7 linked regions of the Xenopus tropicalis genome follow. The protein of the gene in region 2 purifies or fractionates together with the protein of the main gene of each other region. This does not show direct contact. Links are inferred from orthologs where the notes say so. Each region holds a gene or a part of one and is shown on either strand. Other genes may lie near its edges. The genes, in order: smarcb1, chd3, mta2, sin3a, bcl11a, bcl11b and znf512b.

Evidence for each region.
Region 1: the proteins of chd3 (region 2) and smarcb1 purify together in Homo sapiens (affinity purification with mass spectrometry; 3 studies listed by BioGRID, with this or other methods). This does not show direct contact. The link is inferred for Xenopus tropicalis from reciprocal best matches to the Homo sapiens genes CHD3 and SMARCB1.
Region 3: the proteins of chd3 (region 2) and mta2 purify together in Homo sapiens (affinity purification with mass spectrometry; 8 studies listed by BioGRID and IntAct, with this or other methods). This does not show direct contact. The link is inferred for Xenopus tropicalis from reciprocal best matches to the Homo sapiens genes CHD3 and MTA2.
Region 4: the proteins of chd3 (region 2) and sin3a purify together in Homo sapiens (affinity purification with western blotting; 3 studies listed by BioGRID, with this or other methods). This does not show direct contact. The link is inferred for Xenopus tropicalis from reciprocal best matches to the Homo sapiens genes CHD3 and SIN3A.
Region 5: the proteins of chd3 (region 2) and bcl11a purify together in Homo sapiens (affinity purification with mass spectrometry; 3 studies listed by BioGRID). This does not show direct contact. The link is inferred for Xenopus tropicalis from reciprocal best matches to the Homo sapiens genes CHD3 and BCL11A.
Region 6: the proteins of chd3 (region 2) and bcl11b purify together in Homo sapiens (affinity purification with mass spectrometry; 3 studies listed by BioGRID and IntAct, with this or other methods). This does not show direct contact. The link is inferred for Xenopus tropicalis from reciprocal best matches to the Homo sapiens genes CHD3 and BCL11B.
Region 7: the proteins of chd3 (region 2) and znf512b purify together in Homo sapiens (affinity purification with mass spectrometry; 3 studies listed by BioGRID and IntAct, with this or other methods). This does not show direct contact. The link is inferred for Xenopus tropicalis from reciprocal best matches to the Homo sapiens genes CHD3 and ZNF512B.

The regions. Positions count from the first base shown.
Region 1 is NC_030677.2:153,168,220-153,172,856, reverse strand, and holds the start of smarcb1 (SWI/SNF-related matrix-associated actin-dependent regulator of chromatin subfamily B member 1), read left to right. Parts: upstream 1-1,779; 5' UTR 1,780-1,781; coding exon 1,782-1,871; intron 1,872-2,476; coding exon 2,477-2,597; intron 2,598-3,711; coding exon 3,712-3,841; intron 3,842-4,637.
Region 2 is NC_030679.2:146,946,788-146,951,419, reverse strand, and holds the start of chd3 (chromodomain-helicase-DNA-binding protein 3), read left to right. Parts: upstream 1-1,798; 5' UTR 1,799-2,293; coding exon 2,294-2,525; intron 2,526-4,632.
Region 3 is NC_030680.2:36,848,442-36,852,909, forward strand, and holds the start of mta2 (metastasis-associated protein MTA2), read right to left. Parts: upstream 3,004-4,468; 5' UTR 2,885-3,003; coding exon 2,857-2,884; intron 1-2,856. UniProt on the Homo sapiens protein: May function as a transcriptional coregulator. Acts as a component of the histone deacetylase NuRD complex which participates in the remodeling of chromatin.
Region 4 is NC_030679.2:93,378,841-93,383,141, forward strand, and holds the start of sin3a (paired amphipathic helix protein Sin3a), read left to right. Parts: upstream 1-1,400; 5' UTR 1,401-1,506; intron 1,507-4,301. UniProt on the Homo sapiens protein: Acts as a transcriptional repressor. Corepressor for REST. Interacts with MXI1 to repress MYC responsive genes and antagonize MYC oncogenic activities. Also interacts with MXD1-MAX heterodimers to repress transcription by tethering SIN3A to DNA.
Region 5 is NC_030681.2:33,979,026-33,983,426, forward strand, and holds the start of bcl11a (B-cell lymphoma/leukemia 11A), read left to right. Parts: upstream 1-1,521; 5' UTR 1,522-1,654; coding exon 1,655-1,709; intron 1,710-1,732; exon of another isoform or gene 1,733-1,815; intron 1,816-2,491; exon of another isoform or gene 2,492-2,579; intron 2,580-2,804; exon of another isoform or gene 2,805-2,889; intron 2,890-4,401. UniProt on the Homo sapiens protein: Transcription factor. Associated with the BAF SWI/SNF chromatin remodeling complex. Binds to the 5'-TGACCA-3' sequence motif in regulatory regions of target genes, including a distal promoter of the HBG1 hemoglobin subunit gamma-1 gene.
Region 6 is NC_030684.2:90,433,131-90,436,976, reverse strand, and holds part of bcl11b (B-cell lymphoma/leukemia 11B), read left to right. Parts: intron 1-2,213; coding exon 2,214-3,846. UniProt on the Homo sapiens protein: Key regulator of both differentiation and survival of T-lymphocytes during thymocyte development in mammals.
Region 7 is NC_030686.2:1,314,999-1,318,844, forward strand, and holds part of znf512b (zinc finger protein 512B), read right to left. Parts: intron 2,291-3,846; coding exon 2,130-2,290; intron 922-2,129; coding exon 770-921; intron 34-769; coding exon 1-33. UniProt on the Homo sapiens protein: Involved in transcriptional regulation by repressing gene expression. Associates with the nucleosome remodeling and histone deacetylase (NuRD) complex, which promotes transcriptional repression by histone deacetylation and nucleosome remodeling.

The sequences.
Region 1 (4,637 bases), on a different chromosome or scaffold from region 2:
GTATTATCTCTTTAGTTTTAGCGATATGGTTCATTTAAAAACTGTAATGCAGATTGGCATTCTCTGTATTTCCTATGATATTTAGCACTCTCACCGGCAAGTAAAATCTGAGGAATGGCTAAAGGACCTTGGTTTTGTATACTGTAAAGAATTAATCCTGCAAATAGAAAACACAAATGTCCTATCCTACTTTCAAGACTGTATAATCAATTTGCAAGTAGAACAAAGAGTTTTAAAGCCAAGGAATTTGGGTCAGGAGAAATAAAACCTATATTAGTTTGTGCATGTGTGCATGAAAAATTATGGCATTCACTTATTGCTGTGCTAGTGGCCGGCCTTTTCTCAGCCAGCAGAGAAGTGCCAAAATCCTTGAAAGGATCCTGGGCTATTTCATCCAAATTAATGTTTCCATTAATATTAATTACATGCTTCTCATCTGGTTTAGGTGTTTCACAGCCAGCTGAAAATACTATGTAAAATGAAATATCCAGGATTGGATCATTATCTTATCTTATAACCTGAGGTCAGTTGGCATCTCTGCAGAACAATGTTCCCTATAAGCAGTGCGCTCACACACAACAATTTTGTATTTATTTTTACCTGAGCAGTTTTTAAAAACGTGCACACAAGTTTAAAATGTATGCACACAAGTTTTTTGCACACAAAGCCAAAAAGTAATGAGGGAACGTTGCAGCAGGTCTATTTCATAGCCCTTAATTGCTTGTTAGGGCAGGGTTGGACTGGGGCGGCCGGGGGCCCAATGGGACTGCCACCTGGGGACCCTCCATCCCAGTTGCGACATCAAACCCCGTCCCCCTACTGCATTTTCTCCTTACAACTGTGATAAAAGGACTGTGGGCCAGCACCTAGTTATAGGAGGGAGCAAAACTGGGTCAGGACAGCCTACAAGGGCCAGGGCCCTGCCGATCCAGTCCATACTCGGTTTGAGGGCTGCCAATGGCCTATTGTTGAGTGGTGTAACTACTACCCCATGGGCATGGTTGCAAACTTTGCACCAAGGTCCCTCTCAAGACATGAGCTGCCGTGCATACTAAACATATCATTAAAGGAACAGTAACATCAAAATATGAAAGTGTATTAAAGTAATTACAATATAATGCACTGTTACCCTGCACTGGTATAACTGGTGTGTTTGCCTCAGAAAGACTATTATAGTTTATATAAGCAAAGCTGCTGTGTAGCCATTCGAATGAAAAAAGGCACAGGTTACTTAGCAGATAACAGATCAAATGCCATTGTATTCTACACAGTTTGTTATCTGCTATGTAACCTGTGCCTTTTCTCCTTTTTTCCAGCTTGAATGGCTGCCCCCGGGGCTACACAGCAGCTTATTTATATAAACTATAGGAGCGTTCTGTAGCAAATACACCAGTTTTACCAGTGCAGGGCAACAGTACATTACATTTTAATTACTTTAAAACACTTTCATATTTTGGTGTTACTGTTCCTTTAAACGTTAATGTCCACTGTGGGTTTCGGGTTCCAAAATATTAAAAGGCCGGTATTTTTTTTTCTAGAAAAAGTGGCAACCCTTGGCTGATCTTTAGTATTTCCGCACTAATAAAAATACTAAGTAAAACTATTTTACGAAGCCGCTACTTTAGTCAGCGTACAACCAAACTACGCCCGCAGGCAGCTATAAGTTGTGCGCTGAAACGCCGCGCATGCGCTTTATGCAGTTCCCTTGACGCCTGCGCTTCGTGTACTACGTAGTTGGCACATGCGCTGTTCGGTGGGCCCGGTGTTGGAACGGAGGCAGGATGATCATGGCGTTAAGTAAAACGTTTGGCCAAAAGCCAGTGAAATTTCAATTGGAAGAGGATGGAGAATACTACATGATAGGATCCGAGGTACGAGTCCAGGGCAAACGTTAAACATCTCCGCTGAAGCTGCGTAATACAAACGTGGGGGAGAAAGGGGTTTGGGACAAAGGATTCCTTCTTTGTTACAGGCACTGTTGTGGGCGAGACCAAGGTTTCTGTAAATCTTCATGCGTGTAAAAGAAAAAAACCAAAACAATAACAAAAGGGGGGCGGGTTATTAGTTAGATAAAAAAGAGTGGTATATCCAACCGGCGGGCCCTTGTTTCACTACAGCTCTCATCACTCCCAGAATGAAGGAAGTGCTAGTAGTTTTAAAGCAGCTAGACCTACAAGTTGAACGCACTGGTGAAGGGAGAGGTGGCCAATGGGGGATGAATTTGAAAGTGCAGCTGACTGGTTAGAAGTGCAGCAACAGAAAGCATGAGGTAAACAAAACATCTGTAATAGAAATAGGCTGCAACTCCTACCTTTCCCCTAAATCCTCCTTTCTGGAGGCCTGCTGTGTTGTGTAGCGCCTCATTGTATGCTGTCACTTCAAGGTGTACACATTATATTTGGGTCTGTGACCAAATTTTGCAGCCTGAAAACGTATTATTGTTTTGACTCTTAAATACTTTGTCTTTTATTTACAGGTGGGAAATTACTTGCGCATGTTCAGGGGATCATTATATAAACGGTACCCTTCCCTTTGGAGACGGTTGGCAACAGTAGAAGAGAGGAAGAAAATAGTAGCGTCTTCTCATGGAAAGAAATGTAAATATTAGTAGTTTTTTTTACCTGGTTTGTCTGGTGAAAGAACAGCTTGGATTAAGTTGAATGCACCAGTTGTCTATGGCAGCCCTGGGATTTCCGAATTTTTACCTGTACTATCTGGATTTGCAAGTCTACTATCTCCAATGGTGCTTTGTTCTAGAACCTTATAACCCAAATACTTGCTTCCGTGGGATATTTCTGGCCTCTGTGGAACACATTACATTACATTAACATTTATTTATAAAGTGCCAACATATTCCTCAGCGCTGTACAATAAGTGGGTTACATACATTGGACATAAAGAGTAACATATAAAGCAATCAGTAACCGATACAAGAGGTGAAGAGGGCCCTGCCCAAAAGAGCTTACAATCTACAAGCACCTGCATAGCTTTCACTACCGACTCCAAGGATGCCCCGCAACTGCAAATACCCTCTCTACCTTAAATTACTGGGCCATCCCCCACCACTATTATTCCCCGGCTACCATTGTGGGGAAACATATATTTGATATCTCCAGGATTTTTTCCTGGAATCATCACAGGCTCAAATACCTAGGTGGCCACATTATAAATACCATCTATTCAACATATATTTTACAACAAAAATATCAACTACCTCATTTGCCCTTCTACAGATTCTTTTAGTTGCGACGTGCTTTCAATTTACAACTTTTAACCTATACCTCAGACCTTGTACATCTAGTATTGAGAACATAACTCGGATAGGTCCAGGCTGGTTTCATCTGGTGGGATGTGCCAGCTGGACACATCCTGTTCTGTTGCACAATGGTCTGTTGAAACCCACCCCAACCTGTCATGCATGCTCAGACAGTTGGGCTGAAGGGTCCAGATCTGCCAACCAAAGCTGGCCATGCTAGGACAGCTTTACAGAATTCAAAATTCACAAAAATGTAAACCATTTCAGATTGTCTAAGAATACCTAATCTAAGCTATTTTCAACCAGCTTTTGGCAATTAACATTGTTTCTACTATAATTTTAAGATGACCTCCCTTAGTTTGCCACATTCATAATTTCTTGTTTTAATGTAACCGAACTACTTTAAGTATAAAGTTTTTAAACCTTTTACATATTGCTGTTTTCTTCCTCCTTAGATCATGGATATACCACTTTAGCTACCAGTGTTACTCTCTTAAAAGCTTCAGAAGTTGAAGAGATCCTTGATGGGAATGATGAGAAATATAAAGCAGTCTCTATTAGCACAGAACCACCAACCTACCTCAGGTGAGTGAGGCACACATTTGAGGTTTTTAGTCATATGAAACATTTGGGAACCCCTCTCAGCCTGCATAATAGTTTACTCCACTTTTAACAAAAAAGATAACAGTGGTATGTCTTTCATTTCCTAGGAACATCTGAGTACTGGGGTGTAATCTGAACAAAGATTTTTAGTGAAGCAGTATTTAGTTGTATGAAATTAAATCATGCACTGGCTGTGCAAAAATTTGGGTACCCTTGTAATTTTGCTAATTTGAATGCATGTAACTGCTCAATACTTATTACTGGCAACACCAAATCGGTTAGCTCGTTAAGCCTTGAACTTCATAGGCAGGTGTGTCCAATCATGAGAAAAGGTATTTAAGGTGGCCAATTGCAAGTTGTGCTTCTGTTAGAGTCTCCTCTGAAGAGTGACAGTGTGGTTTAGGGAAAGGCTACAGAAAGCCATCTCAGAGGTTTAAACTGTCAGTTTCAACTGAAAGGAATGTAATCAGGAAATGGAAGGCCACAGGCACAGTTGCTGTAAAACCCAGATCTGGCAGGCCAAGAAGAATACAGGAGTGGCATATGCAGAGGCTTGGGAGAATGGTAACAGACAACCCAAAGATCACCTCCAAAGACCTGCAAGAACATCTTGCTGTAGATGGTGAATCTGTACATCGTTATACAATTCATACATCTGTATGGCAGGGTGATGAGAAAGAAGCCCTTTCTGCACTCATGCCAAAAACAGTCACTTGTTGTATGCAAAAGCTCATTTAGACAAGTCACAGTCATTTTGGAACAAAATGCTTTGGACTGA
Region 2 (4,632 bases):
CACCGGGAGTTTTCCTGGTATCCCTATGGGCCAGTCCGACACTGGGCCAAACTGTTAGAATCACTGACACCTGGGCCCACCGGGAGTTTTCCTGGTATCCCTATGGGCCAGTCCGACACTGGGCCAAACTGTTAGAATCACTGACACCTGGGCCCACCGGGAGTTTACATGGTATCCCTATGGGCCAGTCCGACACTGGGCCAAACTGTTAGAATCACTGACACTTGGGCCCACCGGGAGTTTTCCTGGTATCCCTGTGGGCCGGTCCGACACTGGGCCAAACTGTTAGAATCACTGACACCTGGGCCCACCGGGAGTTTACATGGTATCCCTATGGGCCAGTCCGACACTGGGCCAAACTGTTAGAATCACTGACACCTGGGCCCACCGGGAGTTTACATGGTATCCCTATGGGCCAGTCCGACACTGGGCCAAACTGTTAGAATCACTGACACCTGGGCCCATCGGGAGTTTACATGGTATCCCTATGGGCCAGTCCGACACTGGGCCAAACTGTTAGAATCACTGACACTTGGGCCCACCGGGAGTTTTCCTGGTATCCCTATGGGCCAGTCCGACACTGGGCCAAACTGTTAGAATCACTGACACTTGGGCCCACCGGGAGTTTACATGGTATCCCTATGGGCCAGTCCGACACTGGGCCAAACTGTTAGAATCACTGACACCTGGGCCCACCGGGAGTTTACATGGTATCCCTATGGGCCAGTCCGACACTGGGCCAAACTGTTAGAATCACTGACACCTGGGCCCACCGGGAGTTTACATGGTATCCCTATGGGCCAGTCCGACACTGGGCCAAACTGTTAGAATCACTGACACCTGGGCCCATCGGGAGTTTACATGGTATCCCTATGGGCCAGTCCGACACTGGGCCAAACTGTTAGAATCACTGACACCTGGGCCCACCGGGAGTTTACATGGTATCCCTATGGGCCAGTCCGACACTGGGCCAAACTGTTAGAATCACTGACACCTGGGCCCACCGGGAGTTTACATGGTATCCCTATGGGCCAGTTCGACACTGGGCCAAACTGTTAGAATCACTGACACCTGGGCCCACCGGGAGTTTACATGGTATCCCTATGGGCCAGTCCGACACTGGGCCAAACTGTTAGAATCACTGACACCTGGGCCCATCGGGAGTTTACATGGTATCCCTATGGGCCAGTCCGACACTGGGCCAAACTGTTAGAATCACTGACACCTGGGCCCACCGGGAGTTTACATGGTATCCCTATGGGCCAGTCCGACACTGGGCCAAACTGTTAGAATCACTGACACCTGGGCCCACTGGTACTTTTCCTGGTATCCCTGTGGGCCAGTCTGACACTGCACAGCTCTATAAATTATAAAAAATACAAATATTCTGTATTTGGACTCAACCGTACTTTAATAAACATGCCCCTAATTCTTCTGTGCCTCCAAAGTTCTGAAGGCAAACACCATGCATTCATTTTAACTCCCCAATTGTTTTTATCTTCACATTTGGGGCTATAAGAGGAGAATACACAATCAATGTGCCCGGCTATACACTCAGCTGGCCCCACCCACCCCATTCTCTGTGCACAGGCATATTTCATACATACACCGTCCCCTTTTGCACATAAAATATATATATATATTTTGACGACTCCCTTTGCCGGCTGCCCCCAGCCATTTTGTGCAGCTCTTTGCACCAGAGAGAGGCTGCTGTGTATAATAGAAATGCTCTTAATAAAAGGGGGAGTAGCTGCTGTGTGTGATTCAGGTGGGGGGAGGGATGAGGAAGGTTTATAAATATCTCACACAAGCCTCATTTTATTATTTTTTTTTAAACTTTACATATAATAATTGAAGGGGCGGCCATCTTGGTTCCCTGTCAACTTTTCCATTTGATCTGAATAAAAATAAATCCCCCTTCTCCCTCCAGATTTTTTTTTTTTTTTTATATTTTTCCACCCCCCCCTCCTCCCTTTTATTTATATTTTGTATATTTCTATCAATCTCTTTTGATTGTAGGGGGAACCTACTGGAACATTATCACCTATTTTGAACAAAGAAATGAGAATGATTTTGCTCCCCTCCCCCCACACCCAGTGATGCTGCTGTTTTCCCTGAGGTGATTTATTTTTTTACGTGTTTTTTCTCATTTGTTTTATGATTTTTTGACATTTTGGGGGGGGAATATTTTTTATTTTTTTTGGGGGGAAAACTAAAAGCCTTGGGGGCACGGCCGGGAGCTCCGGAGCAGGCAGCCGGGCTGAGCTGAGGGGAAACGGGAGGCTGCAGCCCAATGTCATCGCCGCTCAGGGACGACGAGGAGGAAGAAGAGGAGGAAGAAATGGCCGAAGAAGGGGACGGCGAGAAGGAGGAGGATGAAGATGAAGAAGAGGAGGAGGAGGAAAGCCGAGAGCAGGCGACACCAAGCCGCCATTGCAGCCCCAGCCTCTATTTCCCGCCAACAGCCTCCAGGGAGCCGGGGAGTGTTGAAACCGATTCCACGCCGCCGGTGCCAGCTGCCGCAGGTAAACACTAGGGGGGAATGGAGAATGCCGGGCGGCTTCAAGGCCCCCCCCAGTACTCCCTGGCATTAACCGATGGACTGTCTCACTGCATAAGGGGAGAGGGGGGGGGCAAGGGGACGCTAGGCTGGTGTCCCCCTATTGTTTGACAGGATGACGGCAGCCCCCCTGGTGTCCACTTCAACCCCCCCCCCCTCTCTCCTTTCGCAGTGGTGCGGTCTGTCCCTTCACCTTTCAGAGAGGGGTTAGTGCCGGGGAGGGGAAGTTGGCGCCATTTCTATTAGGCGCTCATTACAAGTTGGCAGTGAGGGGCTCCGGGTGCCTTGGTCACTACAGGGGGGAATATTAATGCGCAGCTCATGTATTAGGGGCTATTCATTCCTATAAGTGCCATTTTAGGGATTGACTTTATAGTATTTGGCGTTTAATATTTCCACATTGGTGTTTATTGGAAAATATAACCGCTTTCCTATCTATGTTTTATTGATTTCCTGTAGATAACACCAAGTATTATTATTATTAACTGAAACTACAACTCCCAGCATCCTTTTGCAGCTTAAGTGGGCTGCTGGTTTACAATTGCCTGTCCATTGACTTTAATGGTAACTGCCTGGTTACTGTGATTCCCTTTCTACAGCCGGTAAGTTCCTGAGCGGCGGAAAGATCCAGGTACAGGTATGGGATCCGTTATCCAGAAAGTTCAGAATTACAGGAAGGCCGTCACCCATACACTCCATTATAAGCAAATAATTCTAATTTTTGTAATAATAAAACAGTACCTGTACTTGATCCCAACTAAGATATAATTACCCCTTATTGGGGGCAGAACAGCCCTATTGGGTTTATTTCATGGTTAAATGATTCCCTTTTCTCTGTAATAATAAAACAGTACCTGTACTTGATCCCAACTAAGATATAATTACCCCTTATTGGGGCAGAACAGCCCTATTGGGTTTATTTCATGGTTAAATGATTCCCTTTTCTCTGTAATAATAAAACAGTAAATGTACTTGATCCCAACTAAAATATAATTACCCCTTATTGGGGCAGAACAGTCCTATTGGGTTTATTTAATGGTTAAATGATTCCCTTTTCTCTGTAATAATAAAACAGTACCTGTACTTGATCCCAACTAAGATATAATTACCCCTTATTGGGGCAGAACAGCCCTATTGGGTTTATTTCATGGTTAAATGATTCCCTTTTCTCTGTAATAATAAAACAGTACCTGTACTTGATCCCAACTAAGATATAATTACCCCTTATTGGGGGCAGAACAGCCCTATTGGGTTTATTTAATGGTTAAATGATTCCCTTTTCTCTGTAATAATAAAACAGTACCTGTACTTGATCCCAACTAAGATATAATTACCCCTTATAGGGGGCAAAACAAGCCTATTGGGTTTATTCAATATTTCAATGATTTTTAGTAGACTTAAGTTATGGAGAGCCAAATTATGGAAAGATCCCTTATCCAGAAAACCCCAGGTCCTGAGCATTCTGGATAACAGGTCCCATATCTGTACTTAGCATTTTGCATTTCATATTTCCACATTGGTGTTTCTCTGTTTGAGGTCTCGATTTAACCCCGCTTCCCTATCTATGTTTTCTTTATTTCCTGTTGATAACACCAAGTATCATTTTTAACTGAAACTACAACTCCCAGCATCATTTAGGCTTTTGCAGCTTGGTGGGCTGCTCGTTTAGAATCCATTGACTTTAATGGTAACTGCCTGGACACTGGGCTTCCATTTTTCCAACCGGTAAGTTCCTGGGCCAGTAGTGCACCAGGTAATAATGAAATAATCTTCCAATGTGCTGTTGCCATAACCTATAACTGATTATTAACTAATCTGGGGGTTTTAGTCTGGTTAAAGATGGGGAACCTGGTCGGTACATGGCTACTTACAGTGATCATTGAGACTTTTAGTAAGCTGTAGAGCAGGGGTGGCCAAAACATCAATCGCAGTCCACCGGTCGATCCCCCGTGGACTGAGTCTTAGCTGGGAAGTGCAGAGCTTTTATTGGGTATGCGTATGTACGCAAGGAGGAGCCAAAGTTGATCACCGCGCGAAAAAGTCTGGGCACCCTTGATGTAGAGAGTGCTATT
Region 3 (4,468 bases), on a different chromosome or scaffold from region 2:
AATATGATAGGAGAGGGGCTGAATAGAAAGATAAGAACTAAAAAGTAATAATAACAATAAAACTGTAGCCTCACAGAGCAATAGTTTTTTGGCTGCTGGGGTCAGTGACCCTCATTTGAAAGTTAGAAAGAGTCAGAAGAAAAAGGCAAAGAAATAAAAAATGAAGACCAATTGAAAAGTTGCTAAAAATTGGCCATACTATAACATACTAAAAGTCAACTTGAAGGTGAATCACCTATTTAAAGGAACAGTAACCCTAAAAAATTAAAGAGCTTTAAGGTAATAAAAATATAATGCACTGTTGCCCTGCACTGGTAAAACTGGTGTGTTTGCTACAGTAACACTACTATAATTTATATAATAAGCTGCTGTGTAGCCACGGGGGCAGCCATTCAAGCTGGAAAAAAGGAGAAAAGGCACAGGTTACATAGCAGATAACAGCAGATAACAAATAAAACACTATTGTATTCTACAGAGCTTATCTGTTATCTGCAATGTAACCTGTGCCTTTTCTCCTTTGAATGGCTGCCCCCATGGCTACACAGCTGCTTATTTATATAAATTATAGTAGACTTTCTGAAGTAAACACACAACTTTTACCAGTGCAGGGCAGCAGCACATTATATTTTAGTTACTTTTATACACTTTCATTTTTTGGTGTTACTGTTCCTTTAAGCTAGCCCACATCTATTAATCAATCGGCAAGTAGTGTTTACTGGCCAGCTCTTTAAAAACAAACATCTAATTAGTTGCTATGAGGCCCGCACTGGCGATCTGTGGAGTCTGGCAAATGCCAGAGGGGCTGCTGTAAGATGCCATAGACCGTTACTATTTTTTGGGTGGGCTACTAAAAAAAAAAAATGTAACTATAGGGACTTAACATATGTTAACATAGGTACTTTGAGCAGGCAAATTTCTTTACTGTCCTGAAACATATAAAACATATTTCAGTAGGCATCACATATAAGCTTAACATACTGCTTCCTATGAATCCAATACACCTTTGTTATTATTATACTGCAGTTTAATTCCACGTTACAAAAACATGTAGGCTTATTAAAGGAGACGGTGGTGTAGAATGAAAAGGCTGGACTTTTGTTTTTAGTTCAGCTTTTCAGGGCTGTGGAGTCGGTAGATAAATTCTCCGACTCCTCAGTTTCTGATACTTCCGACTCCGACTCCTCTGTTTTTAACATGTTAATGTATTTTATACATTCATACAGTCAATGAAAAACATGCTTCATGGTCACTCAACGTGTTTGTTTATGCACTGCGTGCATTGGGCTTTATTCTTATAGCAGAGAAGTAATTAATTATGACTGTTTGTGAATTGGGACATTTAAACTTGCTTTATTTTTTTTTTATTCCCATTTAAATTTAGTAGGAGTCGGTTCATTTTTTGCCGACTGACTCCAGGTACCCAAAATTGCCTCCGACTCCTCGACTCCACAGCCCTGCAGCTTTTCACTTTACTGCGCTTGCACTCCCAGCTTAAAAAGCAAAGAGGAAGAGAATTGCCCTGTGGTGCCACTACAAAAATACCCCAGTCCAGTGCAGTTTTCAGCAAATGGGAGAAATGGCCCTGGGTACCAGGCAACTAACTGTAATCACTGTGGGAAGGGGGGGTGCTTGAACTTCCCTTCTTTTTAACCGACACCTGATGAAATTCATCCACTTGTGTGAATGCAATCTATCACATTAGACTGTAAGCTTTACTGGCACCACAACTGATACAAAGGATAAATGATCAGACTACATTAATAAGAAGGCTCTTTCACAGATTATGGAATGTTAATAAAGGTTAGTTAAGAAAATAAATTGTAAATACCCACAAATTTCTTATGCAAACAAAAAAATGTAAAAAATCCTATATAAATATGTATAAACAAGTGTAAAGAAAATTAACACTTGGGGATAAAAAAGTTGTGTAAATACCAGCTTTGATTGTGTTCAAGATAGACAGGTTATAGTTATATGCTGCAGGATAATGAGAGTTCAACATGTCCTTGGGCAGCCATGGCCCAGAAACAGTGGATTACAGTCAGGTCAAGATTGACAATCAAAAGTGGCCCTGGCTTTTCAAGTAGACAGAGGCCCAAAAAGCCCAATAAATATTGACTGCCTATAGAATCTACCTGCAGCCCCTCTGGCATTTGCCAGATTCCATAGATTGGCAGTACAGTCCTGGTTACAGGGTCATCTACCTGATAAGCAATTTGGCACAGAAGCCCTCTGAGCAAGATCAGCAGGGGTTATTCTCATGGAAGCTCCCTGTCTTACACACACAAGCAGTGACAGACAGACAGACCTCACAGAAGCCAGTGCACAAAGTCAGGGCAGTTTCCATTGATCAATATTATGAACAGTGACAAACAGGCAGGGTACATAAGGGGTGGTCCTAACAGCCCCGGCCACTAAACTAGGCTGAGTGTGATTGAGTCAGGTAAAGAGTAACCGGGCTAGTTTAATACTGCAGAAACAGCACAGCAGCATTTTAGTATTTAGGTTACATACTGACATTTGTGTGTGTGTGTGTGTGTATGTATATAAATATATATATTTATGATCTATGTGTGCATATATATATATATATATATTATGTGTGTATTATATATTTTCTGCATTAGACTAAAGACACACAATGCACAGAAATAAGATAAAGATAATCATTCTACATTTCTGCATGTAAATAAAAAGCGTTTACTTTAATTCAGCATTCGGTGCTCGCTACTCTGTACAGATGATGTATGGGTATAGACTCTCCCTCTACAGCGGATAAAGTGTGTGTTTAACTACATAGTATAAAGCTCTACAGATATGCTTTCGGCTCAGAATGATTTTACTGTGAGTTCTCACCTCCCACCCGGTACATATTAGCCGCCATCTTGCTCTCTCCCGCGCACAATAACTCGGGAATCTGCGCGCGTTTCCGGGGCCTGTGGGGGGAGAGGAAGGGGAAGAAAGAGGGGCAACTTCCGGCATAAAGAAGCGAGCAGCCTTCCGGGGGAGGGACAAAGCGTTCGATTGAAAGAATTATATCCGGACATAAACGAGTGCTTCCGGAATCAACTGATGACTTCCGAAGAGGGAGACGGGAAAACCCGAACTTCTCCGAAGTAAACGACGCACAAAGGCTGCAGTCAGTAGAACGCGCTCGGAAGGAGGAAGTAGTTGTGGACGCATTAAAGTGATGTGCGGCAGAGTTGGTCTGCTAGTATCCCTTACTTTTAATAACTGGTAAAATGCTGGTTTAGTGAGTAACGACATACACGTCCCTATGGTTTAAGTTTACTCTATCTGAGCTTTATGGAATATAATATACAAATCGTTCTGTAATATGCGGTGTATTATATATATATATATATATATATATATATATATATATATGTGTGTGTGTAATATATATTACACAAAATGTGTGAATAATTCAATAAAGGTGCTGCTCAGTAATGTCATCATTTATAATTGGTGCTTATTGATTGAAAGGCTCTTGCTATTACAGGATGTAACAAATCACATGATGCCTGATTTTAAAGGAGAACTAAACCCCCTAGGTAGAAAAGCCCCACTCAACTGACCTCCATCTGCCTCCTCACCTTTCCTACCCTGCATAGTCTATTTAATAACAAAGTGTCCCTATCTGAACAACTGAAATAAAAATGCAGCACAGCGCAGATTGCAGGCTCCATCTTCACTCCCTTCGATCTTCTTTGTGTCTCTCCGCCAACACTGACCCTGCAGGAGTATGTAGAGTTGTGATTCCGCACTAGATTCAACTGTGCATGCTCCTGCTTGCTCCATGTTTCATAAATGAAATACTGCATTCTGTGATTTTGTCCTTGTAAGGGGTGAGTATAATTGTTTGAAATCAGCCGTGTATAAGTTGGCAAAGGAAGGGGCTACATTAGAGCCCATACTTGTATCACTAACTTATTGGTAGTATAAAAGTTCAAATTTAAAATAATAATTGGAGAGACAGCATTCCAGTAATTCCATAAGAAATTCATTACATGGCCATGTACTGTCTAGATGGGCAATCGGATGTTGGCGGATTGTTTGGATACCCAAGTATGTAGGGATCACTATATAAAGAACGTCTATAGCAAGTTTACTGTTGAGAGATAAAGGCAATGCTGTTTTAACTTTGGTTAAAAAGTCCCCAGTGTCCTTATTCTAGATATCCCTTGTAGTTTTGGTTAAAGAAAGTCCATATAGATAGCTATTGGTTGTAAAATAGACTTTATAGCACTTACTATGGGACGGCCTGGAGGTTTCCTGCCATTTTAAGCTGGCCATACACGCACCAATAATATCGTACGAAACCTCGTTTCGTCCGATATTCGGTGCGTGTATGGCAAGTCGACGAGTAGACCGATATCGCAGGAGGCTGCTGATATCGGTCGACTCGCCGATCGGGCCAGTTAAAAGATTTTGATCCGGCGCCATAGAAGGCCCCTGACCAAAATCT
Region 4 (4,301 bases), about 54 Mb from region 2:
CATGACTCAAAGCATACATAAATCAACAAAGCAATAGCTTTACCAAAATCTGTGGGGTGACCTGAAGACAGCGGTGCACAGATGCCCTCACAATTTGACAGATCTGGAAAATGTTAGCAAAGAGGAGTCGGCAAACCTTGCAAAGTCTCAATGTGCCAAACAGATGGACCCAAAAAGACTGAGTGCTGTTAATAAAATCAAAAGGTGCTTCAACCAAGTTATTAGTTTAGGGGGTGCGCACTAATGCAACCAGGTTTTGTATGATTTGTTTCACTAAACTGTTGATTTGTTTTCAACTTCTTTGTACAGATCACAATTTTGTAAAAAAAGGTGGAATAAGTTCTTACAGATTTTATCTTGGTTTCTTTTTTTTTTTTAATTAACACAAACATGTGTTATGTATGTATACAGCGATGAATAGAAGAAAAATAATTTAATTAAAACAAACAAGGGGGTCATTACAATAATAGGTCAATAAATACAAAGTACGATTAATACTAATAAAGTACAGCTGTAGTAAATATGTCACAGAGCTAAGTAACAAAGAGACAAGAGTATGGAGATTCCTGTTCTGTACAGCTTACAATCTATGGCTAAGAAAACTTACAATATATTACAGTCAGTTGCAGAGACAAAGCAGTGCAGCGCTATATATTCTATTCCACATATAAGGTGCAGGGCAGACAATATGAAAGAACACAAAATAATAATCTGTCAATATTGTTATGCCTCTTTCCATATGTTTTCTGGGCTATTAAAAACCTAGACCTTTTCCGCTCGCTCTGCACCATCCGACAAACGTTTCCTATTCCGCGATTCAAGCACCGCACAGCATTCTGGGTTCCATAGTTTTCATCTATGTAAGTATTAAAAAGCAGTGCATTGTGGGCGATATCTTTTGTGTCGTACCTGCAATGCATTTTGGACGTTGTAGTTTTTTAAAAAAATTCTATATTGATTTGAGGTATGTCGTTACTGTGCACATTCAGCCCCTCCATATTCCTATAATTTCGCTCTTGTCGTCCAAAATCATTACGCGCACCTGTCACATAAACATATTTGGGATGCGCGCTGTAGCCGCGGTCTCTCACAACCTCCCGCCCAACAGAGCCCTACTACTTATGAAACAAATACAGCGGTCATTGAATCTGATAAGAGTTCTAAGTCAGCTTGAGGGCCGCGAGTAACACTACAAAATTAACATTAGACTCTACAAGCCTTAGTAAGGAAGGAGAGAACAAACAGCACCAGAGCCAAATGGGACGTGCCCTTCAAGGGGGCGGGTGGCTAAGCCCCCATGACGGAGCGCTGTCTCTATATGGCAAGAAGGCGGGGTCGAGTTTAAATGAGTTCCCCTCCCCTCTAAGGTTTTCTATGGTACACACCCACCCTCTTTTCTGTAGGGGGCTGGACTAGAACTAGGAGTCTTGGAAAAAAACGGGGGGGGTGTATCTATCCTAGCATAGAGTCCCTGACTTGGTGTGGCCGTATATTTATTTCTGGAAGGTATGTGCCTCTTGTTTATCCTAAAGGGAGCCATTCTTTGTTTGGACTGGGGCGCTGGGGTTGTAGTAAGGCCAGTGGGACACATCGAAGTGCTTGCCTTTTCGCAGATGGGGTCAGGCGGCGAGTTACGAGTCCAGCCGTGCTGCACCTCGTATGTACAGGGTGTCCGGATACACATTCCCCCGTGGCACCGTTCTCCAACCTGCGCCTAAACAGCTGCTGTTGGACTGGAATCCCCAGAGCCACGCGAGAGTTTGCTGCCTAATAGCTGTGGGTGGCGAGATCCCTGCCCTAGGGGAATCGATGGTGGCCATGTGGCTACCTGTCCAAATATGCCTGCCAATATGCTCTCATCTGTATAGAGATGACCGCCAGGCCGGGAGATGGATAGATGGAGTAGGGCTGAGACTGGGACAAATGTTATGCACCCGAGCCAGCTGGGCTGTTACTGCCCAGTCAGTTGGCATGGGCAAAGGCTGGTTTGTCCTGTCTGAGAGGGAAGAATTAGGGATCCCTTATGTTCTTAAAATGACCTTAGGTTTTTTTGGGGGGTGGGGGGTTAACGCAGTTCGTGGTGCTGGGGTTTGGGGGACCTACAGCGATTGATGGAAGGCGGAGGTTCAACGCTGACGCTTAAATCATTTGTGCCTTTAAGTTTATTTCTCCCCGAATATCACACGAGACCAAATTTTGGGAAAATGTGAGCTCGGTTTTTGCATGAGATTAATAGGAGTATAGACATGGGGTTTGGGGGGTGGTGCTTCATTGCAGTTAGGTGACTGTATTGTCTGGGAGGCAGCAGAAAACACCCCTGAACAGCCGCGCTATGTGGAAGCGGCTCCTAAATAGCCTGCCTTACACTACACTGTTCCATGTCTTCTGGTCAATGTACTATTAAATTTAATTGCCTTCTGCACGCATAACGAAAACTAGCCGCTATCACTCACGCTAAAACCTCTACTCTCTCCCTTCCTAACGCGCTTAATAATTCTGAGATGGTACGTGCCTCAGCTTTATCCTTTTTGGCCCCGCCCTATCTAAACGCTATTGGCCCTCTCCAGTACCTAGGCATCCTGTATTTTCATTGGGCAGAGTGATTGCACCGCCCTTATTCGCTGGCACTAGGCATCGACTCCGTGTTCTCTTCCGTGTAAGGCGTGGCTTAACACTATTGGTAGGGCGTGCATATTGCTGGTCACTCCTGGTCATAGGAAGCGGAAGCTGATAGCAGGCAATGGTTGGCTAGTTGTGTTGTACCCGGAAGTGCTGTCCAATAAGCTTTACTTTATGGGCCGACGTTAGCCAAGGGGCGGAGCTGAGGACAATGAGGCTGCTCTTCTTATACTCCTCCCCAGAAATGTAGCCTTAAGTTTCATATACGTTTATCGTCTTATTTGTCTCCAAACATTTTTTGATTAATACAATGTGTGAAAACAGTATAGACACTGTGGTCGGAACCCTAATGGTAGCTTATCCTTGATTTAGAGGCAATTCTGCAATCTGACATCAAGTTTTGTGTGTGCTAAGTACGAGAGAGAAAGGTTTGCATCTTGGCTATGAAACATCACACTTTTGATTAGTCAGCACCAGGCAGCATTGCTTTATCATAGGCTATAGACATTTTACTACGTTTATTTTAGGAATATAACAACTCCAACTCATGAATGGCATACTGAAACATTATAAATGCTGCTGTGCCTTTCTATGGACCTAATGCCCTTGGGATGTCGCAATTATGATTAAAAATGTCATACTATAGTGTTAAAGAAAAAAAAAATTTGAAATGTCTGGTGGAAGATGTAAACCCTAATAATGTGAACTTGTATGTATATTTACACTGCACTGCTTGTGCATGCTGTGCTGTACAGTAGGACAACACAATAATAGAACAATTTAGACAGGTCCCCATCAGGTCACAACAAGGTTACAGATATAGAAAATCAGTGTATATTCTTATAAATAGTGGCATTAGTTATAATTGGTCATACACATTTTTAAGAAATACAATTTTTCTTTAAAAAAAAGTACATTTGAAATAACATTTACGTTTTATGACTATAGAAACACAACTTTAACCTGTTATATTGCGCCTTTTAAAAGGGTATGGAACTCCTGTTTTACAAAAGAGACTGCATTAATCCCTACATAAACTTGCTTCATGCACATCTATAATCTAATTATACATGACATCCATCAACATGCTGTGAGATTAGATCAGCTCATACAAACAAATTATGGAGTGCATAGAAAACATACATCAGAACTGTTTTATACCCAGTTCTTAATCAGTTTTTAAAAAGTGTCACATAACCCAGGAAATCAAGAGGCCATGTGCAAGAAATTGGTAGGGAATTCATAAAACAGATGTTAATTTCACTTTGTCGTGTACAAAAACGGCACTGTCAATATTGCATTTTTGCGTAACTCCCTTTCCCAGGAGGGTTTAGGCATTCCTTTATACTAAGTTGGTTAGGTTGTTAAGGTGGCCATACATCCATGGCCACCTCTGTATATATCTGCAAGTTTGGGCCAAATGATGACAGCAGAAAGAAGTAAAGAAAATCTGCAGATTCTCTTTTTACTTGACTAGTAAAAATGTTTCTGATGGATTGGTAATCCTCAACTCATCAGGATTATGTGCCTGAATGGCAACTAGCCATATAAATTTATTTGGTAGTGTGGTCGAAATCAGGCAATTGCACAACCAAATCTGTGCATGTGTAACCAGTTTTACACATTTTTCTCTAAAGAGGCCAATATCTCCAGTTACTGGTCTCTATCCTATATTAAATAGG
Region 5 (4,401 bases), on a different chromosome or scaffold from region 2:
CTCCCTATGTGAGGTGGGAGCATGTTCCCATGTTGCCTCTCTGTGTGCCAGTGCTGTACTCCCTATGTGAGGTGGGAGCATGTTGTCTCTCTGTATGCCAGTGCTGTACTCCCTGTGTGAGGTGGGAGCATGTTGCCTCTCTGTGTGCCAGTGCTGTACTCCCTGTGTGAGGTGGGAGCATGTTGCCTCTCTGTGTGCCAGTGCTGTACTCCCTATGTGAGGTGGGAGCATGTTGTCTCTCTGTATGCCAGTGCTGTACTCCCTGTGTGAGGTGGGAGCATGTTGCCTCTCTGTGTGCCAGTGCTGTACTCCCTGTGTGAGGTGGGAGCATGTTGCCTCTCTGTGTGCCAGTGCTGTACTCCCTGTGTGAGGTGGGAGCATGTTGCCTCTCTGTGTGCCAGTGCTGTACTCCCTATGTGAGGTGGGAGCATGTTGCCTCTCTGTGTGCCAGTGCTGTACTCCCTGTGTGAGGTGGGAGCATGTTGCCTCTCTGTGTGCCAGTGCTGTACTCCCTGTGTGAGGTGGGAGTATGTTCCCATGTTGCCTCTCTGTGTGCCAGTGCTGTACTCCCTGTGTGAGGTGGGAGCATGTTTCCTCTCTGTGTGCCAGTGCTGTACTCCCTGTGTGAGGTGTGAGCATGTTCCCATGTTGCACCCAGCGCCACAGTGTATCCTCGCCCACCCCCAGCCCTATCGCACATTCATGGAGACGCCTTCTACACAAGTGCTTGTGCTAAATATTAATACCTGTCTTGTACCATCAGCGCCCCACTCACTTCTTCCCGCAACAACTTCATAAACCCCTCCCTGGGCTCGCCTCTAACTTCCATTTCCCTCTCATGGTTCCTCATACCGGACCCGTCATTCTCCTGCCGCCCCAGCCCGAGTGTAGGTCTCAGCACCATCTTATACCCCGTGAGGTGATTCTCCCTGACCCCTTGCTGTCTCTCCCACCCCCCCCCCGCTCCCTGGGCTCGCCCCCCTTAGCCCCAGTGAGTGTGCCAGAGACTGTGATCCCTTTCCCCTGTGTTATCTCCACAGCAGGATCACATTCCAGTTCTCCTCTCGCCTTATTTCCTTTCTCCCTCTCAATAAGCAGCGGCAGCGGCAGCGGCAGTAGTACCAGCAGCCTGTGTGTAGCTTCTCCTCCCCCCTCCCGCTTGTACCGTGTGTGCCCTCATTCCCACCCCCCTCTCTCTCTCATCACTGGCCATTGGCTTTGCCCGGGTCTCATTTTCCTGTCCAGCCCCTTATGAATGTCCATTGGTGTTGGCTTCCCTCCTCCCCTTCTCTCCCACTGGCCCTGCCCATGTTTTCTATGTCTCTGTCCATCCAGCTCCTGACGTTCAAGTTTGCAGGGACGTCACGTCCGCACTTGAACTTGCAGCTCAGGGGGGCTTTTGCCATTTTTTTTCATTTCTCTCCTTCTCTATCTCTCTCTCTCTCCTTTTTTTTCACCCCCCTCCAAAAAAAAAAAAAAAAATGTCATGACGGCTTGTCCCACAATTCATCTTCCCCGCACCATCTTTGTATTATTTCTAATTTATTTTGGATGTCAAAGGCATTTGATGAAGATATTTTCTCTGGAGTCTCCTTCTTTCTAACCCTGCTCTCCCGATGTGAACCGAGCTCTTACGAGCCACCCACCGACCGACATGTCTCGCCGCAAGCAAGGCAAGCCGCAGCACTTAAGCAAACGGGAATACTCACGTAAGTACCGATCCCACACTTACCTGCCCGCACAGCTGCCCACTGCTCCAATGCAAAAGGTGAGAGCATGACAAAACCACTGACAAGAAGGGGGAAAAAATCTTCAAGACTTTCTATGGAGCCTTTCATGTCTTCAGAAGTAGAAAGCCAAATACTTTTCATAGAAAGGATAAGAGATTGTGGCAGAGGGGGTAAAAAGCCAAATGTTGCAGAGAGTGGGGGTGATAGTGGCCACAGCACAGAGACCATGCAGAAGGGATGACATGGGAATCAGTAGGCAAGTGTGGGCTTTTTATGAGCAATTCTTCTTTTACTTGAACTTAAAAGTGGTGACCTGAAGGTGTAAGGTTTGGGCAGCGCTGGGTGCTTTTTGGCTTGCTGCAGGCATGGGGCATGCTGTATAGGCTGCTCTATCAACTGCTCGCTGGAGCCCAGGGAAAGAGACTGCTGCAAGAGGGAATCTCCTCTGTGGCCGCTGCTGCTGCTTTTCTTCCCAAAGAAATCTTCATTCTTCTTTCAAAACTTTTTATTTTTTTCCTCGTTCCACCGCCGGCAGAGGAAATCCCTTCCTTTTCCCTCTCTCTCCCTTTCGCTCCCTCTCTCGCTCTCACTCTCTTACTATTTTTTGGAAGATTTTCAAAAAAAGTGGAAGTGGATTTTGATTGGGAAAAATCTCGTGTCTGAATGTTTACAAGCACCGCGTGTGCAGAGCCTCCTGCCAACAACTGAGGACAGGAAAAGCAAAATAATCTCCAGAAAAAAAGCAACAGAATGCACACACACGCACACACTCGCACACAAAAACCCTCTGAAGAGGCAGCTCGGCCGTGAAAGAAATCAAATTGTCTGTCACTTTGTGACTCAGAAAAGGTTGGAGAGGGTTCTCGAAGCAAGTTGTTGGTGTTGTTGTTTTGGGTGCCGAGCACTTTTCGCCGCTTTGTGAAAAAAATAACGTGTGAATGTGCAGTGCAGAATTCCCTCGATCTGATGTGAAAAGGTTCCAGACTGATTTATGTCATCTATATATCCATATTGTTTCCTGGTGTCTGAAACCCCTTGTTGTGACATTTATGGATTCTTGAAAAAAATGTGCTTATTTGCATCTGTTTTTTGTTTTTGTTCAGCATGGATTCCCCATGACACATTTCTTTCATTCCATAAATCTCTTCGACCCCTTCAGGTACCGGCCAGACCATAGGTGAAAGTCATTTTACCTGTAGTATTTCTTTATATTATCATTTTGTTGCTCTTTGGTTCAGGTTCTCTTTCCTTTTGTCTGTTGATCTTTTATATAAATGTGGGTGTTTGCATCTTATCACATTTACAATACCGGATATCAGACATGACCCCATAGCATGACCCAGTCCTTTGGGAATAGAATTTCATATTTTTAGTTATTGTTCCACGTCTTTGTTACATGTTGATATTTGCTTTTTATAGTTTATATTGGTGTATTATTTTCTTATTCACAGTTAACTTTTTTCCATTCTTGTTGTCAGCAATAATGCCTTTTTTTCTGTCTGAACCCACCCCCACCCCTTGCCAAGGGAGCTCCAGGGGATTGATCACCAACATGAGGTTTCACTTAAGACTTGCTTAGAGATACCAGATCTGACCGCTAGGGAGCAGAGGAAGATTAGGAAACCTATCAGCTTAAACCTTTAACTCGTTCAATGTATATTCCTTCATTTTCATATTCCTTTTCTTCCTGGTGGGGGTGAATGGGTAGAATATATTTTCTCCTCTTCATTTCTTTGTCTTTTTTCCTCATCTCACTCTAATTATTCATGTATTTATTTGCGCAGAGCAACCCAGTTTTAAGGTATAAACAGTTTTCGAGTTTATATTTTATTGATGATGAATTATTTTGAAAACTGTATTTATACACTAACTCGCTTTCCTCATAAATGTTACAATGAAAGAAAAACGTTGCCTTGCAGAATAAGACCCGTTTTCCCCACTTGCTAAAAATCACCCACCTCTTTGTAAATAAGTAACATTCATAAATGGGTCAGAAATGAACGTGGTATGCCAACATGCATTATTTTATCAGATTACCAGCTCTCAATTTAGTTGTGTAGTAATTGCTTTTTTACCCCCACCCAAAAACTGAAATTAATCGCATTTCTAAACATCTTTCCTATATATACATTCATTAAAATGTAAAAGTTATTTCGTAAATGAAATTGCTGTCTTTGCTATGTTTCTGGCTGTTTACGTTGTCTGCACTTCTGGTTTTGACTGCGGGCACAATGTAGCAGAAGTCAACTGATTAACAGACCTTGAGGAGAATTGGCTTCTGCTACATTGTTTCAAGAGTCAGAGAACAGAAAGGGATCAGCAAATACCATTTTTGGTAGCAATTACATTTACAAATAAAACCACTGAACTTTTTGAATGAATGTACATGGGATTTTCTTTAATTTACAAAAAGCAGTTTTGGGGGTGCACCCCTTTAAGTCAGAGGTTTAGTTGGGACTTTTTTTTTTTGCCCGTCCATTTTTTTTTTTAAAGTTTACATCGTTCTGTTCTCCATTAGCCCAGATGAAGGAAGCAAGGAGGCTTGTGTAAGAGGGGGAGGGGAGGGAAACAGGTTTTTCCTAAAACAGAGAGGTTCCTTGTTGACTGTCTGACATGTTTGCCTTTTATCCACGTGTTTGGACAGAGAGAGGAAGAGGGAGGGATAGAGTCC
Region 6 (3,846 bases), on a different chromosome or scaffold from region 2:
TTTTTATGTAGTATAATATGTTGTTTTACTTTTGTAAGCAAAATATTTTCTCTAAATTAGCCTTTGGACCCAGAATAACAGTACAAAATCAATATACAATGTAAAAAAAATATCCATATTGGGCTGGGTTACGGAAGGCCCCAAGGCGTTTCAGATTCTTAAATTCCATTCCTGTCACATATTAAATGTATTTTAAAGGGGTAGTGAAACATAGATTGTTTTAAGTTTGGTCCCCACTTAAGATTTAATTCTATTCAGTCCATATAATATTTGTTAACTTGCTTTCAGAGCAACAACAACTACACCAAGGACAGCGTGGATGTTCTGGTACTGTGCGTTACAAAATGTGTCAGATAATGCCAATGAAATAAAGCTAAAAAAGAGAGTTGATGAAGCTTTTAGAATTGAGATCATGGACTCTTTAGCAAATGAGCAGAAAATGTGTCATGTTTGAATGACACGTGTCCTATTGTATAAAATTTAGCAGTGGGTGAGAGTACTTCAAGTTGCAAATAGCAGGAATATAGGATATGGCATCACTTTTATTGCACAACAATGGCTTAACCAAACAACATTCTGTCCCCCACAAAAAAAAATGTAAATATAAATTTGTGTGTTTGTCTATTTAGGAATTTCAAATAGAAAATGGAATTCCTGTGATCGTGTCTTGGCACGTTCTCTTGTGTGCAGGTTCTTATTTTCAAGACATCTTTGCAAATGAACTGTATAATTTTTCAGTCAGTTTAAATAGACTGGATCTACCATGATTACCTGAATAAAACAATTTCTAATTTTTTCTTGCAGCATATATATATCTATCTATTTATATATACACATTTAATAATTGGATGTTATAATTGGAGATTATAGGAGGGAATATTTTCACAGAGACATTTGTTTGTCACTGGATACCACTAAGCTTCCTGTGGTCAATTTGCTAGCTATGGCCAGCATTGCTCATAGCCTTTGGAGTCTTATTGATAGAATGTGTTTTTATGTCTGTGCCATCTTTAATACTCAAAAGACAGCCAGAAGCCCAGCCATTTTAGTTGACTAGTATGTTACTTGACTATTGACTATTATTATTGAATTGCTTGTTAAAGAAGGATTAGAAACATATATAACAGAAGAATCAAGATGGAAAACCTATTAGTTATAAATTACTATATACACAAATAACTTTATTGCAAACAGAGAAAAATGAGGGCATATTTCCAAAATATACAACAGGGGAATACAGAGGGATTTTCAGCAGTACTGACAGTCAGGAAAGGTTTAAACTAAATGACACATTTATTAAAACACCCCAACAATTTCATTAAAAACTTTTTCATGCTGGAACAACTGTCTGTCCTGGCATACATAAATATGAACATTTTCCATCAACAACTACATGTCCACTAAGAGTGCTGTTATTTTTTTTTTCAATAACTACTGATATATTCTCTTGTTTGCTCCACAAGCTGTCAATATTTGATTAGCCTTTAAATATCAAAAGACTGTTCCTTTGTTCCATTCTCAGGATTCCCAGCGAGTTGTTAACAAATTTGTAAAATTTACCAAATGTGATAAATCAGCCCCAAAATATCTCATGCACCATTTGCTTTGTTAGAACAAATAAAGTTGCATATATAGAAAGCCATTTTAAGCTCAAATAAATAATAATAATAATAATAATAATAATAATAATAATAATAATAATAATAAAACTATGGTTTCCAAATATTCAGCTACTTTATAACCTTATATGGAAGTATAAAGAGTGAAGTTTTTTTATGGAACTTCTTGAACCCGAATTGTTTTTCAGTACAGGGTTTCTTTTTCTGTAGGTTTTTATTTTTGCTTTTTTCATTAAAGGGGCAGTATACCTCCTTTTTAATAGGTCTTGTGCTTAACATACTTTTTGACTTATGTTTTAATCACACAAAATCTGTGAATTTAACTCATGTTGAGAAGAGGGTGTATGGTTTCTTAAACAGTGCATCAGTAATAAAATGAATAAAACAGGCTTTTTTTATTGTAAAATACTAAGAGTGGAATAAGATGTATACATTAGTTATAGTTATTTGTGTTTCATAGTGGGAAAATTAAATATTTGTATAAGAAATGTAAAGCAACTGAGCACATTTAGTTTTCAGCAGCTTAATGTAAAACTTTTAATACAAAATCAGTTTAGTATATTTTATATTTTGTGTTTTTTTTGTCTTTGGCAGGTAAAGATGAGCCTTCAAGCTATATTTGCACAACATGCAAGCAGCCTTTTAACAGCGCATGGTTCCTGCTTCAGCATGCTCAAAATACACATGGATTTCGTATCTACCTGGAAACAAGCCCATCTAGTAACTCTCTTACTCCACGTATCACTATCCCTCCACCTCTGGGACCGGAGACTGTTGCACCATCCCCTCTGATGAATTTCCTTGGGGACACTAATCCCTTCAACCTTTTAAGAATGACAGGACCTATTCTACGTGATCACCCAGGCTTTGGTGAGGCTCGGCTCCCAAACACACCCCCACTTTTCAGCCCACCCCCACGCCACCATCTGGACCCGCATCGCCTTAGTGCCGAAGAAATGGGGTTAGTTGCCCAGCATCCTAGTGCCTTTGACAGAGTTATGCGCTTAAACCCCATGACAATTGAATCTCCAGCAATGGATTTTTCCCGAAGGCTAAGAGAACTAGCAGGGAACAACTCCACTCCACCACCAGTGTCACCGAACCGCGGCAATCCTATGCATCGCCTGTTAAACCCTTTTCAGCCAAGCCCTAAGTCACCTTTTATTAGTACACCACCATTGCCACCCATGCCCCCCAGCAGTACTACTCCACCACAGACCCAGGCAAAGAGCAAATCCTGTGAATTCTGTGGGAAAACCTTCAAGTTCCAGAGTAATTTAATAGTCCACCGTCGCAGTCACACGGGAGAAAAACCTTATAAGTGTCAGCTGTGTGATCATGCATGTTCCCAAGCAAGCAAGTTAAAACGTCACATGAAAACACATATGCACAAAGCTGGTTCAATGACTGGAAGGTCTGATGATGGACTGTCTGCTACTAGCTCACCAGAGCCAGGCACAAGTGATTTAACAGGAGAGGGTGTAAAATCCAGTGAGACAGATTTTAGAAATGAAAGTGATCCATCTTTAGGCCATGAAAATGAAGAAGAAGAGGAAGAAGAAGAAGAGGAGGAGGAGGAGGAAATAGAGAATGAAAGTAGGCCAGAGTCAAGCTTCAGTATGGACTCTGAAATGAGCCGCAATCGTGAAAATGGAGCAAAGCCAATCCATGATGAGAAGTCCCTTGTTCTTGGAAAAGTTATGGAGAATGTACATTTAGGAGGCATGCAGGCATATAGTGATATGCTGCATGAAAAACAAAAAAGAAGTCATTTCATGAAACGATCTGATCAGCAAATTTTATGTAGGAGAATTCCAGGGCATGAAGATACAGTGGAGAGAGAAATAATCCCCAATGATGAAGGGACAGTTAATGGAAATTTTGGCCCAGGTGAACCATTTCCAGGCTTGCTCCCACGAAAGCCAATGCCTATTTCTAGTTCTGGACTAAACAACTCATCAAAAAGGATAAAAATTGAGAAAGATCTAGATTTACCCCCAACACCAATAATCCCATCAGAAAACGTTTACTCACAGTGGCTAGTAGGATATGCAGCATCAAGGCACTTCATGAAGGATCCATTTCTAGGATTCACAGACTCTCGACAATCTCCTTTTGCAACTTCTTCTGAGCACTCTTCAGAAAATGGAAGTCTGCGGTTCTCTACACCACCAGGTGACATGCTGGATGGAGGTCTCTCAGGGCGAAGTGGGACAGCGAGTGGCGG
Region 7 (3,846 bases), on a different chromosome or scaffold from region 2:
CCGTGAACTTCCTGGGAGTTTTCTGTTTCCTTCCTGACTCAAAAGACAGAAAAATAAACAGAAGTCACAGAGAGGGGCGGAGCCTGCAGTATGCGCCATATACCCACAGGCCGGGGGTTACGCGCCATATACCCACAGGCCGGGGGTTACGCGCCATATACCCACAGGCCGGGGGTTACGCGCCATATACCCACAGGCCGGGGGTTACGCGCCATATACCCACAGGCCGGGGTTACGCGCCACATACAAACAGGACCCTCCCACCGATGCACAGGACCCTCCCACAGACGCAGAGGACCCTCCTACCGACGCACAGGACCCTCCCACAGACGCAGAGGACCCTCCCACAGACTCACAGGACCCTCCTACCGACGCACAGGACCCTCCCACAGACGCAGAGGACCCTCCCACAGACGCAGAGGACCCTCCCACAGACGCAGAGGACCCTCCCACAGACGCAGAGGACCCTCCCACCGATGCACAGGACCCTCCCACCGATGCACAGGACCCTCCCACAGATGCACAGGACCCTCCCACCGATACACAGGACCCTCCCACCGATGCACAGGACCCTCCCACCGATGCACAGGACCCTCCCACCGATGCACAGGACCCTCCCACGGACGCACAGGACCCTCCCACCGATGCAAAGGACCCTCCCACCGATGCACAGGACCCTCTCACAAACGCACAGGACCCTCCCACTGATGCACAGGACCCTCCCACTGATGCACAGGACCCTCCCACAGACTCACAGGACCCTCCTTACTGTGCCTCATTCTCTCGGGGTCCTCGTCGGACAGGCAGGGGTCTCTCTGTTTGCGGCCCGGGGGCCCAATCTCTCCGTTCTTTGTGGAAGGGGCAACTTTGGGCTTCTTGGGAAACCTCTGTGGCCGGGATTTGCCCCCAGATACTGTGGGACTGAGAGACAGGGGGTAAGAACAACCTACCCCCTCTAACCCTCTAACTCCCTGCTATCAACCCCTGGAATATGTGCTACAAGCTCCCCCAGTATTGCCATTAATACTCCCGTTACTATAGCCCCCAGTATTGCCATTAATACTCCGTTACTATAGCCCCCCCCCAGTATTGCCATTAATACTCCCGTTACTATAGCCCCTCCCCCAGTATTGCCATTAATACTCCCGTTACTATAGCGCCCCCCCCCAGTATTGCCATTAATACTCCCGTTATATAGCCCCCCCCCAGTATTGCCATTAATAACTCCCGTTACTATAGCCCCCCCAGGTATTGCCATTAATACTCCCGTTACTATAGCCCCCCCAGTATTGCCATTAATACTCCCGTTACTATAGCCCCCCCCCCCAGTATTGCCATTAATACTCGCGTTACTATAGCCCCCCCCCAGTATTGCCATTAATACTCCCGTTACTATAGTGCCCCCCCCAGTAATTGCATTAATACTCCCGTTACTATAGCTTCCCCAGTATTGCCATTAATACTCCCGTTACTATAGCCCTCCCCAGTATTGCCATTAATACTCCCGTTACTATAGCCCCCCCAGTATTGCCATTAATACTCCCGTTACTATAGCCCCCAGTATTGCCATTAATACTCCGTTACTATAGCCTCCCCCCAGTATTGCCATTAATACTCCCGTTACTATAAGACCCCCAGTATTGCCATTAATACTCCCGTTACTATAGCCCCCCAGTATTGCCATTAATACTCCCGTTACTATAGCCCCCCAGTATTGCCATTATACTCCCGTTACTATAGCCCCCCCAGTATTGCCATTAATACTCCCGTTACTATAGCCCCCCCAGTATTGCCATTAATATTCTCCCGTTACTATAGTCCCCCCAGTATTGCCATTAATACTCCCCGTTACTATAGTCCCTCCAGTATTGCCATTAATACTCCCGTTACTATAGCCCCCCCCCAGTATTGCCATTAATACTCCCGTTACTATAGCCCCCCCAGTATTGCCATTAATACTCCCGTTACTATAGCCCCCCCCCAGTATTGCCATTAATATCCCGTTTACTATAGCCCCCCCCAGTATTGCCATTAATACTCCCGTTACTATAGCCCCCCCCCCCAGTATTGTCATTAATACTCCCGTTACTATAGCCCCCCCCCCAATCAATGTTGGGGCGCAGCTGCACCTCTTTTCCAGTCGGGAGATTGCGCTTGGGGTCGGCGCCTTCCCCTCGGCTCGGTCCTTGTCCGAATGGTTCTGACCCAGATGCTTCTGCAGCTGCAACTTAGAGGCAAAGGCGGCATCGCACTCAGGGCAGGGGAACGGGCACGGGGGGGGCACCGAGGCCTGGGGCAAGAGACAGAGCGACCATCAGGGGGGGTACAGGGTCGGGTACAGTACAGGACACGGGGGGGTACAGGGTCGGGTACAGTACAGGACACGGGGGGTACAGGGTCGGGTACAGTACAGGACACGGGGGGGTCACAGGTCGGGTACAGTACAGGACACGGGGCCCGGGTACAGGGTCGGGTACAGTACAGGACACGGGGGGGTACAGGGTCGGGTACAGTACAGGAAACGGGGGGTACAGGGTCGGGTACAGTACAGGACACGGGGGTCAGGCGTCAGGTACAGTACAGGACACGGGGGGTACAGGGTCGGGTACAGTACAGGACACGGGGGGGTACAGGGTCGGGTACAGTACAGGACACGGGGGGTACAGGGTCGGGTACAGTACAGGAACGGGGGTACAGGGTCGGGTACAGTACAGGACACGGGGGATAAGGGTCGGGTACAGTACAGGACACGGGGGATACAGGGTCGGGTACAGTACAGGAACGGGGGGTACAGGGTCGGGTACAGTACAGGACACGGGGGTACAGGGTCGGGTACAGTACAGGACACGGGGGGTACAGGGTCGGGTACAGTACAGGACACGGGGGGTACAGGGTCGGGTACAGTACAGGACACGGGGGGTACAGGGTCGGGTACAGTACAGGACACGGGGGGTACAGGGTCGGTACAGTACAGGACACGGGGGGTACAGGGTCGGGTACAGTACAGGACACGGGGGGTACAGGGTCGGGTACAGTACAGGACACGGGGGGTACAGGGTCGGGTACAGTACAGGACACGGGGGGTACAGGGTCGGGTACAGTACAGGACACGGGGGGTACAGGGTCGGGTACAGTACAGACAACGGGGGGGTACAGGGTCGGGTACAGTACAGGACACGGGGGGTACAGGGTCGGGTACAGGACACGGGGGGTACAGGGTCGGGTACCGACGGGGGGTACAGGGTCGGGTACAGTACAGGACACGGAGGATACAGGGTCGGGTACAGTACAGGACACGGGGGGTACAGGGTCGGGTACAGTACAGGACACGGGGGGTACAGGGTCGGGTACAGTACAGGACACGGGGGATACAGGGTCGGGTACAGTACTGACACGGGGGGTACAGGGTCAGGTACAGGACCGGGGGTACAGGGTCGGGTACAGTACAGGACACGGGGGTACAGGGTCGGGTACAGTACAGGACACGGGGGGTACAGGGTCGGGTACAGTACAGGACACGGGGGGTACAGGGTCGGGTACAGTACAGGACACGGGGGGTACAGGGTGGGTACAGTACAGGACACGGGGGGTACAGGGTCGGGTACAGTACAGGACCACGGGGGTACAGGGTCGGGTACAGTACAGGACACGGGGGGTACAGGGTCGGGTTTCGTACAGGACACGGGGGTACAGGGTCGGGTACAGTACAGACACGGGGGTACAGGGTCGGGTACAATACAGGACACGGGGGGTACAGGGTCGGGTACAGTACAGGACACGGGGGGTACAGGGTCGGGTACAGTACAGGACACGGGGGTACAGGGTCGGGTACAATACAGGACACGG